Linked DNA regions of Oryza sativa Japonica Group. The protein of the gene in region 1 binds, or shares a complex with, the protein of each later gene. Links are inferred from orthologs where the notes say so. Each region holds a gene or a part of one and is shown on either strand. Other genes may lie near its edges.

Region 1 (3,512 bases):
GATTGTTTTCACAATGAGAAAACATACAGCAAAATGGTAAGTCACAGAGTATGTTGTTCAAAGCTTTACCGTTTTAATATTTGCAACAACACCATTTGGTTGGCGGGTAAGCATAGGTCCATTAACTGAAAAATACTTATAACAGTTAGTCATGTTCAGTATGGAAGATAGTAATGATACGGATATAACCAGAAGCCAAAAACAAATTTCTATATAAGGCAATTCCAGATTTATCACAACTGGATCATGCAAATAAAACCAGCAATTGGCTAGACTTGAAATATGTTCCACTTTAATTAGGTAGATGGGCAATCTGGCATATATTAGTACATAGCAATGTACAATACAAACAATAAGAATTTGGCATTTCATAACATTAAACTGTAAAATTTTATTTATGAAACAAACAATGAAGGGGCTTCATCAACACTCACAAAAACAACAAATTATGTATATCCACGAATACCTTTAAAACCACATTGCTGTGTATAAAAACAGGAATTGCGATATATTTGTATCCTCAGTGTTAATTTTGATTAAGATGCTGAAAAACAAAACTTGTTATCCATATAGAATTCATCAATCCGAAGACACCATGCCATTGAAAGCATTATCACTCAGAGTCCAAACAATTAGTTGTGACCCCATGCCAATGATAACCATGAAGACACAATCATTATAGAATAATCTATGTTTTCTTGGCACTACAATTGAAAAACCACCCAGATGGGAAGGGGACAAATAGAACACAATGGTACAAGCTTTTAGGAGGCAGGTTTTCACGTTTGTGTATTCAGTACATCCATTTTTCTTCATCTCCAGCTCAAGGCATCTGTACTTGACAAATTGGAGATAAACTATAGGAAATTATATTGTAGTCCCATGTAATGTCAGATGCACAAGCACATCGTGTTCATAATAGAGGAGAGCTCACAATACATTTTATTCCTCTAAGGCTTTGAAAACTCAATGATATGCTTTTTTCGGGCCAAAAATGGATGGCATAAGGGCATTGCCAGAATCCTTCCTGCTATTAAAATAGTCAGGCGTACCAATATATGCAACGATAATTGTTAACCTATGTTGCTTCAGCCCATGGAGTAATTATGGCAATGGTTTATTTCACTTTAGCCTAACATTTTTTTCCTTAACAAAGCTGTGTCAAGCATTTGTTAAAGCAGACTCACGCTAGACTATGTGTAAGCACCTACATATTCACAAACATCGTAACAACGTCACAACCTTTCGTCCAAAAGAGGAACAGAACTAAAGGCTAAATACCATGGCAAGACTAAGCCAAATGTTAGCATTTGTTCAACCTGAGGGGTTGCCATTTGAAGTTGGTACTGGCACAGATGTTGCAGCTGTATCCATTTTTGTAATGGGGTGATTTGTGACCAAGTTGCCAGGTAAAGGGCGACTTAGAGCAGTTCGAGCCTCCAAAAAATTGTCAGACAACAAAACAAGAAAATGTGGATTTTTTGCATGATCCACTGATGGGTCAGCCGCTCGAGGATTCCTCTTTGCCTGCAACAAAACATGGACAACATCAGCACCTGGTGCAAATTATTCATCAGTACAAACTGTCGAAGGTCTTGCAGAAGATAAAATTTATATCATGTAAGTTAAAAAATGCTTGTATTAAACTAATGATAGATAAGGATGCCAATTCATAGATTTATAGTCTGTAAACCATACAAAGACTAGCTAGCAAGTTCAGGCAGGATACTAACTAATTAAAAAAATGAAATAAATGGATATTTTTCTTATCCACAAATAAGATACAATGACAGTACAATCCAAACTGAGTTCATTTTTATTTGAGTAAATTTCACTTAACCTTTAGGTGTTGTGGTCTAAGTTGCACAAAACCACATGGGTTTTGGCACGTGACACTTAACCACCAGGTATTATAGCTATAAAGTTTCACACAACCACACTATTGATCATTTATAAAATCACATCACAAATTTATGAGTTTTTTATCCATCATATAAATGTTACATGAATGTAACTAAAACTTTTAAAACTTTGATATAGGAGTATGTAAAATTGGTTAACGGTGTGGTCTTGTTAAACCTTAGGGCCATAATACATGGGGTTATGTGTCATGTGCCAAAATCCCTGTGGTTTTGTGCAACTTGGACCATAATAGGTGGTGTTTGATAAAATTTACTCTTTTTATTTCAATGGTAATGAAAATATGAAGTTTAGTACTGTGTACAAGTACAAGAACATATGTAATAGTGGAGCGGCCAGTTCTGCAAGTTCATGCTTATAATTTATTTTAAAAGATATATTCTTAAGTGAGTTTTTCAACCCTCTGTAAATCAAGATGCAACTATCATACCATCAATGAACAAGTAAAATACCAGGAGAAGATTATTAAAGATGGCTTGTGGCTTACAGAATTTAGCAAAACAAAATAACGAAATTACCGCATTGTATATTGCTTTCAGAGTTGGAAGCTGTTTAGGAGATACCACCGACAATGAAACGGAGCACTACATCAATATAAGTAAAATTAATTAGAACCAACAATGACTGCTGACCACTTCATTGAAACACAGGTAATCAGCAATATGCTAGATATCAGTATTTGTGTAGGACCTGAGCAAATGATTTTGCAACAGTCTCAGCATCAGCAAGACAAGATTCTTTTGCTCCATCATTGTTCTCCTTGTGATCGCTACTTTGAACAAGGGGGCGGTAGACAGGCGTAGGCAGTGGATAAGGATTACTTGCTGCAACAAGTATGCAATGTTTTTGTACTTCATGGCTTTGATGATTCTGACTGTTACTAGAACTGCCTTGGAGTATCTAGTTGCACACAGGAAATAAAATCATAAAGGCAATAAATACTTTAATTCATAGAGAACTCAAGAAATAAAATGATATCAAATTCAAAGACCCAAGTATTTTTCAACTAGTTATAGGCTCATGCTGTCATGCATTGCAATGGTTTTTTTTATTAAGTTTAGTGGGAGGATTTGGGCCCAGTGAGCTGTTCGGTGTTTATACAATGGTTGGCTTTATTAGTAAACAGTTTTTTTTAGGGTGGACAGTTTTTATGGAGGAAAGAGGCTTTTATGTGGAGGTGGAGGAGGACGATTCCCTCTTTATAATAGTAGGGATGAAGACTGAAATTTTGATTTTTGAAGACTCAGTACCATAGGAAAATTAACATACTAATATAGGTACATTCATAGAATTTAAACTTCTGATCATACTAGTTTCACTCTGCTTATTCTGGGTACTGGCCCAGACATCCAGTTTCCTAATAGGGTTGATCTAATGAAAATCTTCCTTACAAAAATTAACCTAATGAAATGGTGATTACAGTTATACACTCTATTTACTAAGGTAAGGCTATCTGTAGCTGATATCCAGATCAAGACATTTTTTATGAGACAATAGCTGATAAGTGGATGTGCAAACCACCTTAGAATTTTCTCACATGAATCATATGTTGTGCAGAAGGGCATTAAAGGACAGATTCTAGAGAATACTGG
Region 2 (4,296 bases), on another chromosome or scaffold:
CTGGCGTGGCTTGTTGACCTGATCTAACCGACTGAATTAGCATGTGGGGCCTAGATGTCAGCGTCCCCTCCTCCCTCTTTTACTTTTATCTTCTTTCTTCCCTATCCTTTCCCTACATGGTGATGAGCTCTAGTTGGGAAGGCGGTCGGTAGAACAAGGGAAGACGATAGGGATGCCACTGAGCATCTGACGAAGGTGACTCTTCCCAATTCCCATTCCACCCCCTTCCTGGGATCAGGAGAGGACACCGACCACCGCTCTTCGGTACGGTGGAGCAAACGAAGTGTCGTCTAAGAGGTGGCTAGAGACGGGCGGGAGACGTTGGACTCCAGCAATCGAGGACACACATGTCGACATTTCCTATCTCTGGAGAAGCTTCATCAAGATCGAGCTCGCTTGCCTCATTGGATTTGCCTCGTTGCCCTCACCAAGAACGGTAGCGGAACAAGGTTGCCACGCCCACCAAGGATAGGGGGCATGTGCTCGCCATTGCCTACAGCTTGAGTCTGTCATTAAGGTCAACGACATGGACGACGTGCTCCAGCGAGCCATCGAGGATGACCTCCCCCTCGGTGGCAATGATGACTACAAGAGCTCGTCGACATCTACCCCTTGTCCTCCGACGGGTGGTGGCTATCCCTTGGCCATGCAGAGATATGCACGTGACCCTCCTCTCTCTCTCCCTCACTATTGCCATGTATGGCTCCACAACATATAAAGGAGAAGGACTCTTAGATCTCGATGACAGCGAGGTCAATCACCATCCTTGTCCATTGCTAGGCCTTATTAACCGAGGCGTTGATAGAGGTGAAGGTGGGAAAAGGACGTCGGATTAGAGGAGGCGACAGAGAGAAGGGGAAGTGGCTTGAGGCTCGGATCTGTGAAGGAGAAACACTGATGGGACCCGGCTTTGTCCAGATCAGTGAGGGGCCTCGGTGTGGCAACCGTTGGAGCCCACAATGAAGAGGACATCTACGGCAGCACTGGGCCTCTCCGACTCTCCATCACCGCTGTGGCCCTTCCCTCCTTTGCTCCACAAGGTTGCCAACAGAACCAAGCTTAGTTGGTTGTGTCGGTGGTGGCTTTGTCGTCTAAGTCACTGACACTATTCATGCTTGAGCTCGTCACCGCGTGGAGAAAGGAGAGGGAAGAAAAGAAAAAACAAAAGCATGAGGAGAAAGAGAAGGGGACGACATGTGGGTCCCACATGCTGACTTAATCGGTTAGACCAGTTCAATGAGCCACGTTAACGAAAACCACCCTCAAAATAACTAAAAAGAGTTTTTTTATTCACCGGTGTTAATAGCCGAGGGTTCGATATACACGGTTTGCGATTAAGGGAGAACGAATCAGATTGGACCTATAGTCGAGGGAGACAAATTGGACTTATTCCGCTCAAATACTAGGGCCCTGATAAGGCCAGGCCTGGGCTTCGAGCTTCGGCCCAAAATCAACATATCCTTTGGGCTTTTGGACTATGTTGGGCTCTGAAGCTAAGCTTAGTTCACTTCACAGCCAGCGCCGACGAGAGGAGGAGCAGATCGGCTAGGGTTCCGGCGATGGCCTCCTCGGCGGCGGCGCGGCGGCGGCAGGAGATGGCGGCGGAGGGGCAGCGCCACCTGGAGGAGACCATCGCCGCCGCGTTCCAGATCCTCTCCTCCATGAACGACGAGCTCTGCAACCCCACGCTCTGGTCCTCCTCCTCCGCCGCCGCCGCCGCGGCGGGCGGCGCCGGCGGACTCCAGCACCACGGCAACAACCACCACCACCACCACCAGCACCACCACCACCACGGCGGTCTCCCTCCGCCGCCGCCGCCGCTGCACTCCGCGGACTCCGACGCCGCCGACGCCGCCGGGGGAGGGCCCGGGGGCGCGCCGGGCTCCGGCGGGTCGCTCGACGAGGCCAGGCACCGGTACAAGGTCGCCATGGCGGCGCTCCGCACGTCCATCGCCGCCGTGTCGTCCTGTGCTCAGGTCAGCACACGAATTTACCCGACATTGCATGCTCCCGTAGTATGTATGCAACCACGAAATGCGTGTTTCTAGTGATCGTCTAGTGGAAATTGTGAAACGTATTGCACTCTTTGTTGATATCAAGTTAGGTGCTTATACATAGGTAAGGGAGCCAAATAATTTTTGCAAAAGAAAATTTCTTATTATTGATACCAATGTAAGGGAATGTAAGGGATGTTGTGATGTAGGTTCGGACTACATGGATGTGGACTATATATATGTTTCAATCAACATGAGCTTTTAGTGTTCAATGTTCATGAGACAAAAATAGTAGTTTTATATGATTCTATTTTTAGCAGTAAGTGTAATCCTGATGTGCAAAATATGGTGCTATGGAGAAACCTCATAACAGTTTACTTCTTTGTAATGATGTTGTGGTTTTCTTCGTAGGAGATGGGATCGACAGAACACAAAGCTGATCAAGCTGAGATTGAGAGATTGGAAGAACATGCATCTGCTTTGAGAAAGGTACTATCTTGGGAATGTTCTAGCAATATAATCAATATCATTTTGCTGTATTCAGAATTTTTCCCTGAACCAGTTGGTAACTGGTGCTTATTTAGCCATGTCAATCCCAAATATTTCCCAAACAACCTGTTTTGAACATAATGTGTGTGTGTGTGTGTGTGTGTATATATATATATATATATATATATATATATATATATATATATATATATATATATATATATATATATATATATATATATATATATATATATATATATATATATATATATATATATATATATATATATATATATATATATATATATGTTCCTTTTATGCTTCAATCATTTTAATTCAAAAAGTCCTGAGAAGAGTGTAATCCCCAATTTTTACCTGAAACCATTTTAGATAGCCAGGATCTAGTTTGGCAAGCTGTGATACTGTGTTGCTTGTAGTGTTTTGGATAGTCATGTTCATTCTGTTGAACTCGTCAAAAAAGCGTTCCATCTTGATCTTTCCTGGCAATATTCATGCTTGTTAAGTTGTTATCTTATCATTGTTTTTTCTGCACTGGATACTGCATGTCATTATTGTTTGCATACTTGGATTTGCCTGCTAGTTTAGAACTTACTCCCTCCGTCCCAAAATAAATAAACATAGTATGGAATGTGACACACCCTAATACTAGGAATCTGGATAGGGGTCTGTTACTAGGTTTGTTATTTTGGGACAGAGGGAGTAAGTTTTTGCAAATCCACCTTTGATGCTAATTGGATTCTGGACTATTTAGCAAATCCTTTTCATCCTTTGGAGGGCTGTTGGCTGTAATGGCCTTGTAAGTCTCAACTACTCCTTATCTATGCTAGATCATTATAGCATAAATACAGATTATTCTCCTTGATGTGTATAAATGTGTATAGAAAAATGGATTTGTGGCTTATTCAGTTCCATTTGTATGATTTATTGAGATCAGTGATTTTCATGTACTCCTATGTTTGAAGTGTAGCAAACCATAGTTATTAAGACCGGACCGGTGATCGAACTGTTAGGGTACTCGGTTCACTGGTTTATTGGTCGGACCAGTCAAACCGCCGGTTTAAAGCGGTTCAAATAGATGTGTGTTAGAATACTAGAACAACATGTGACATAGCCGGCTGAGACTCTCCGTGGAAGCAAGGAGGTCTTGGTTCGATCTTCAGTTCAGCAGGTTTTTTCCTATTTTCTCTAACTCCACGTGACACCCTCCAGCAGTCGAACCACCTTCGGTTTTTGTCTGGTTCTGCAGAAAACCGCCCGGTTCAATGGGTTTTTGCCGGTCTGTTTGCTCAACGATCTTTTAGCTGGACTGGACCAGCCAACGCCCTGGTTCCCTTTTTTTCTGATCGGACCACTGGTCTGGTCTAGTTCTAATAACTATGTAGCAAACAGTGTTCTCTAATGCCTCGATTACATAGTTTGTTCCTAAAAAGTTCAAAGCATTTCATTTTAAACATACACTGGTCAGTACAATCTCAATTAGCTGATCCCATGTGTCCTAGTTCAGATTTCTATATATGCCCGTGGTATCATGGTCTGTGGAAGTTTTGAGTCCTCACGCTTTTGACATATATAATACATTTTTTGTTTCAACCTAGTAATGTGGCATACTGTTCTCTGGTACCGTAAACCAGTCTAATACAGGATGTTTACTGCAGGAAATTGAAAGCAAAAACAAGCATGTAAAGCTCCTTATCGACCAACTCCATGATTTAATATCGGACATATCAATGTGGCAGAGTCCTTGCTCAGTGTGAAAACTCATCGGCATTTATCCTTTAGGAATCCAAAAATC
Region 3 (4,054 bases), on another chromosome or scaffold:
AGGAAATCCAGTGCGAGAGGTTATATCGATGAAGTGATTGTGTATTGCCAATGGGCTAGACTATGATACTAATCTTTGATTAAAAAGAGAGAGAATGAGTGCTAGAAAGCTATGTGTATCTTTGGTCTTTGGGCTGCTGGCAGCAGACGTGATGGTGTGAGCCTTGCTTTGCTTTTCTACTTTGGAAGCCATGGCTGATCTAGCCTCTACTAGAACAAGCAGATTGAAGGGGTCGTCTGTTTTGATGTTGGTGCCCAAAAGCTTTGAATATGACCATGCAAGGATTCGTGGCCAGCATCCAAATGGTGTGTTTGCTATCAAGATTAGCAATTACTTAATTAGGTTCGAGTAATCAACAAGTTTGGAGGTTTCGACTGACAGGCATCTCGCCTTAATTTACTTGCTTGAGCATTATCCGATACAAGCTAAAACGAGAGAGCACTGTTGTACCCAGTGTGGCAGAGCTTCCATTGGATGGTTTCCTCTCAGAAATGGGGCTTGTAAACACACATGCAATATAGTTACATCATGAAAAATATATACAAGGACTTTTACGGTGAACAAAATATGGTACCAGCGAATATCTTACTATTACTCCAGTATTTCAGAATCGGATATTGAATATACTTCATATGATACCTGAGCCAGGGGGATTTTGGTTTTGAATCACTTGGGCGTTTCCAGGATTCTGTTGAGTCTTTGTCTCCATAGAGAGCATTTTTAGAGAAATCTTCCGCAAGTAATCAGACTGGTGATACAAAAGAATACAATGGTAAGATTTGGCTTTGTAATAAATAACTTGCCACCCTAAGTCCTGGTGGTTAGCACAATTGAAACATATGCTTCGTTTTTTTATACAATCAATTAAATTATACAAATTCTTATCTATACAGCAAACTACTTTGGCATGAATAAGCCTGATGAAGTATGAACAGGAGAACACAATTGGAATTTGGAGATTATGAATCCCTATACCCAGCCAAAGAAGCTCCTACAAAAATGTTTACCAAAATGAAGTGGGATATATGATGACATACTCGCTAACACAAAAGGAAGGACTGGAGTAAACCATTGTTTGATGTTTCATCTGGGATAAAGGGAATATTTTACAGGTGATTTATACAAGCATGAACAGATGGAATGATGGGCTTACAGAACTCAAGGTACAACTCCTGTACTTTTAACATGGCCAATGAGAGAAACCAGTCTCATGGTAAAAATATTGTTTAGTTCTATAATTCATTAATACTAATTTACTATTGAGATATGTTATCAATGAAAATAATGTGGGGACATCAACACCTCTAGCATAGGACTGAATCAGTCTTAGTCCCTGTATCCAAGGCGCAAAGGAGATTTTCCCCCGATAATGGAAGGGGAAAAGCTTCAGCAGCCTTGGATAATCTGATTTAGGTGGAAGTGCGAAATATTACAATCGGTTCAAAAGAAAATGTGGATACTTCACGGCGAAACTCTAACAAACTTCAAAATCAACAGACATATTTGCAAACATTGGACGATCGATTTCTTCTACTAAGATCCCAAATGCCATGCTTGAGCCCCACAACTGAAAGATTGGATCAACCCGATGAGTTAGCAAGAGGCTAAGTGTACCTGGCTGGTGGCTGCAGTATAGATTTTCTCTTCAAATCGCACTGCTATCTTTTGAAGTTCATTCAACCCCTCAGGCACTGATACTGGTAGATGCTTCTTCAGAGTGTCCATTCTGTACGCAGATTGCAACAAGCAAGTAAATGACGAATATATCCCATGCAGAACGAGAGAGAGAGAGAGAGAGAGAGAGAGTGCTTTTGAGATGTTTTGTGCAAAAAAAAAAAGAGAAATGTCACCTAAGGCATAATGTGTCAGTCTACCATTCAAGATGTTGGACAAATGAGTAGGCATAGCCCAAGTTACGCGCTCAAATATAGTGGCTATGACCAAAAGTGGACAACAGCTACAAAGGACTCGCGGAGCGAGAGTGGCACATACATGATCTAACATAACGAAGTAAAATAAACGAGAGAGGTAGGCGGTTTCTCCAACAAACAGTTTGCCTTGCCATCATAGTTCCCTGACCCTCAAAGGGAAGATCCATTTGAACAGAAGGGGTGCATCTTCCAAGCAAACCTCTATACTGTAATAACTGTGTCTGATGAAATGTAAATTGAGTTCAATTGGATATGTAGACTAGGTGAACTAGACAAGAATGTCAAAGCTAATAAGAATCTGAAAATAGTTGGGGAGGGATTGGAGTTGGACCTAACTAACAAAGTAAATAATAATAAATAAATAACAGAAACACAGGGGCACGGAAGGGGAGATTATGATGAGATTACAACTAGCTACGTAGGAGTAGATCGGATCAGAGTTGCATCATATTGAATCGACCACAGGCACAAAAGGATGATGCGATGTATGGATCTTCTATTTTATTTTATATAGTTGATGAAGAGAAGAAAAATTGGGGGAAGGGAAGGGAAGGGAAGTGGGTGGGGGGAGAGGGGGAAAGCCCTACATCTTGTTGACGATCCTGTTGCGGGCCTCCGACTGGAGCTGGGAGCGCCAGTCGCCGCCGGCGAGGGCGGGGGCCGGGGCGTTGGGATCGATGCCCCCAGAGGCGGCGGGGTCGGCCCCCTGGGTGGGCCTCCAGTTGCCGCCGCCGCCGCCATCCATGGCTCCTCTTCTTCTTCTTCTTCTTCGATTGCAATTTGCGAGGGTTTGGTCTTCGTGGCGGCGGCGACCACAAGACGGAGCGAGCGAGCGAGCGAGCGAGGTAGGCTAGAATCGGAGTCTCGCCTCGCCTCGGAGGAGAAGAAACCTCGGGGTTGGACCGACCTAGTATTTATTTCGCATTTGCCCCCTTGTACTTACAGCATACTCCGATTGCGTTTCCTTTCCCCTTGCATACGGTAGCATGGCGTTAACCCTAACTTTTTTATACTAATAAAATATAATAATAAATTTATGAAATATTTCAACATTTGCAAATGCCAACTATATATAAAAACCCTTCTCTATTAGAACCCCTTCAGCATAATTATTTTGTAAATAAAGCTACACATAAATACATGTTACCGTTTTGGATAAAACCCTCTATGGGTAGTATATTGAAATAAATACCCTTTTAATAAAGAAACATAGCTATGGCTATTTTATACGAACCTTTGAAAAGGAATTTGCCTTCGGAAAATTAATTACAAAATAATATATATTAGTAAAGTATTTATTAAAAACCCTATTTGCAAAATATAATTCATAATAGGCTATTTTCAAAAGATATGACCTTCTCACACAACGTCTAATTTTCCCTCAGGTATAGCCTAGTTTGCATGTTAGGATTTATTGTTTATTTGTGTGTGTTTAGAATTTGTGCCATAGATTTTGATTAAACCCTATCTCTAGAAAGGACACCCTTTCCTATACCTTTCTTTTTCCATCCTTACCTTCTCTTACCTTCGCGGTCTAATTTGTTATGTGCTTCGATGCTAAATAAATCAATGACCCAAAACTTTTTTGTCCTATCGCGATATTGTTGCTCTCTCAAACTCTCGCCCAGCGATTATTTAAAATCACTCCATCAATTCAAACCCAACACTCTCCCTTGACTATCTACAATCGATCGGCGTATTTATTTATCATGCGTCAATTCAATTATCTCCGATTCTATTCCTACCGCGACGATTGGATTTGTATGCTACGCGTTGTCCCTAAAATCCTTTCTTCGCTACCGTCGTTCGTTTGTACGAACACTCTCAAAATAATCCTACAACAACCGATAAATTCATTTATCGTGCGTTAACCCTAAACTCCTATTTGGCAATACGGTGCATCCATCCAAACAAAGTCTCATGTTGCAATCCATTTATTCTGCCCTCGTGCATTCTCGGAATATCTATACATACCACAAATCCCATTTCCAAAGCACTGTCCAAGTCACACCGTCCCACCACAAATACAACGTCCAGTCATACAGTCCCAATTATAAATGTACAGTCCTATTACACGAGTTGACCTATAGCCAAATGACCAATTATACAATATACACCATACC

The links. Proteins that work in one complex are often made in the same cells at the same time.
Region 2: mediator of RNA polymerase II transcription subunit 25 (region 1) and mediator of RNA polymerase II transcription subunit 30 share a complex: the UniProt entries of both Arabidopsis thaliana proteins name them as parts of the mediator complex. The link is inferred for Oryza sativa Japonica Group from reciprocal best matches to the Arabidopsis thaliana genes PFT1 and AT5G63480.
Region 3: mediator of RNA polymerase II transcription subunit 25 (region 1) and mediator of RNA polymerase II transcription subunit 15a share a complex: the UniProt entries of both Arabidopsis thaliana proteins name them as parts of the mediator complex. The link is inferred for Oryza sativa Japonica Group from reciprocal best matches to the Arabidopsis thaliana genes PFT1 and NRB4.

What each region holds. Positions count from the first base shown.
Region 1 is NC_089043.1:12,248,734-12,252,245, reverse strand, and holds part of mediator of RNA polymerase II transcription subunit 25, read right to left. Parts: intron 2,821-3,512; coding exon 2,611-2,820; intron 2,505-2,610; coding exon 2,439-2,504; intron 1,528-2,438; coding exon 1,320-1,527; intron 126-1,319; coding exon 70-125; intron 1-69. UniProt on the Arabidopsis thaliana protein: Component of the Mediator complex, a coactivator involved in the regulated transcription of nearly all RNA polymerase II-dependent genes.
Region 2 is NC_089038.1:19,469,307-19,473,602, reverse strand, and holds the start of mediator of RNA polymerase II transcription subunit 30, read left to right. Parts: upstream 1-1,489; 5' UTR 1,490-1,559; coding exon 1,560-1,976; intron 1,977-2,405; coding exon 2,406-2,483; intron 2,484-4,159; coding exon 4,160-4,258; 3' UTR 4,259-4,296. UniProt on the Arabidopsis thaliana protein: Component of the Mediator complex, a coactivator involved in the regulated transcription of nearly all RNA polymerase II-dependent genes.
Region 3 is NC_089042.1:28,450,873-28,454,926, forward strand, and holds the start of mediator of RNA polymerase II transcription subunit 15a, read right to left. Parts: upstream 2,808-4,054; 5' UTR 2,677-2,807; coding exon 2,519-2,676; intron 1,727-2,518; coding exon 1,615-1,726; intron 749-1,614; coding exon 640-748; intron 1-639. UniProt on the Arabidopsis thaliana protein: Component of the Mediator complex, a coactivator involved in the regulated transcription of nearly all RNA polymerase II-dependent genes.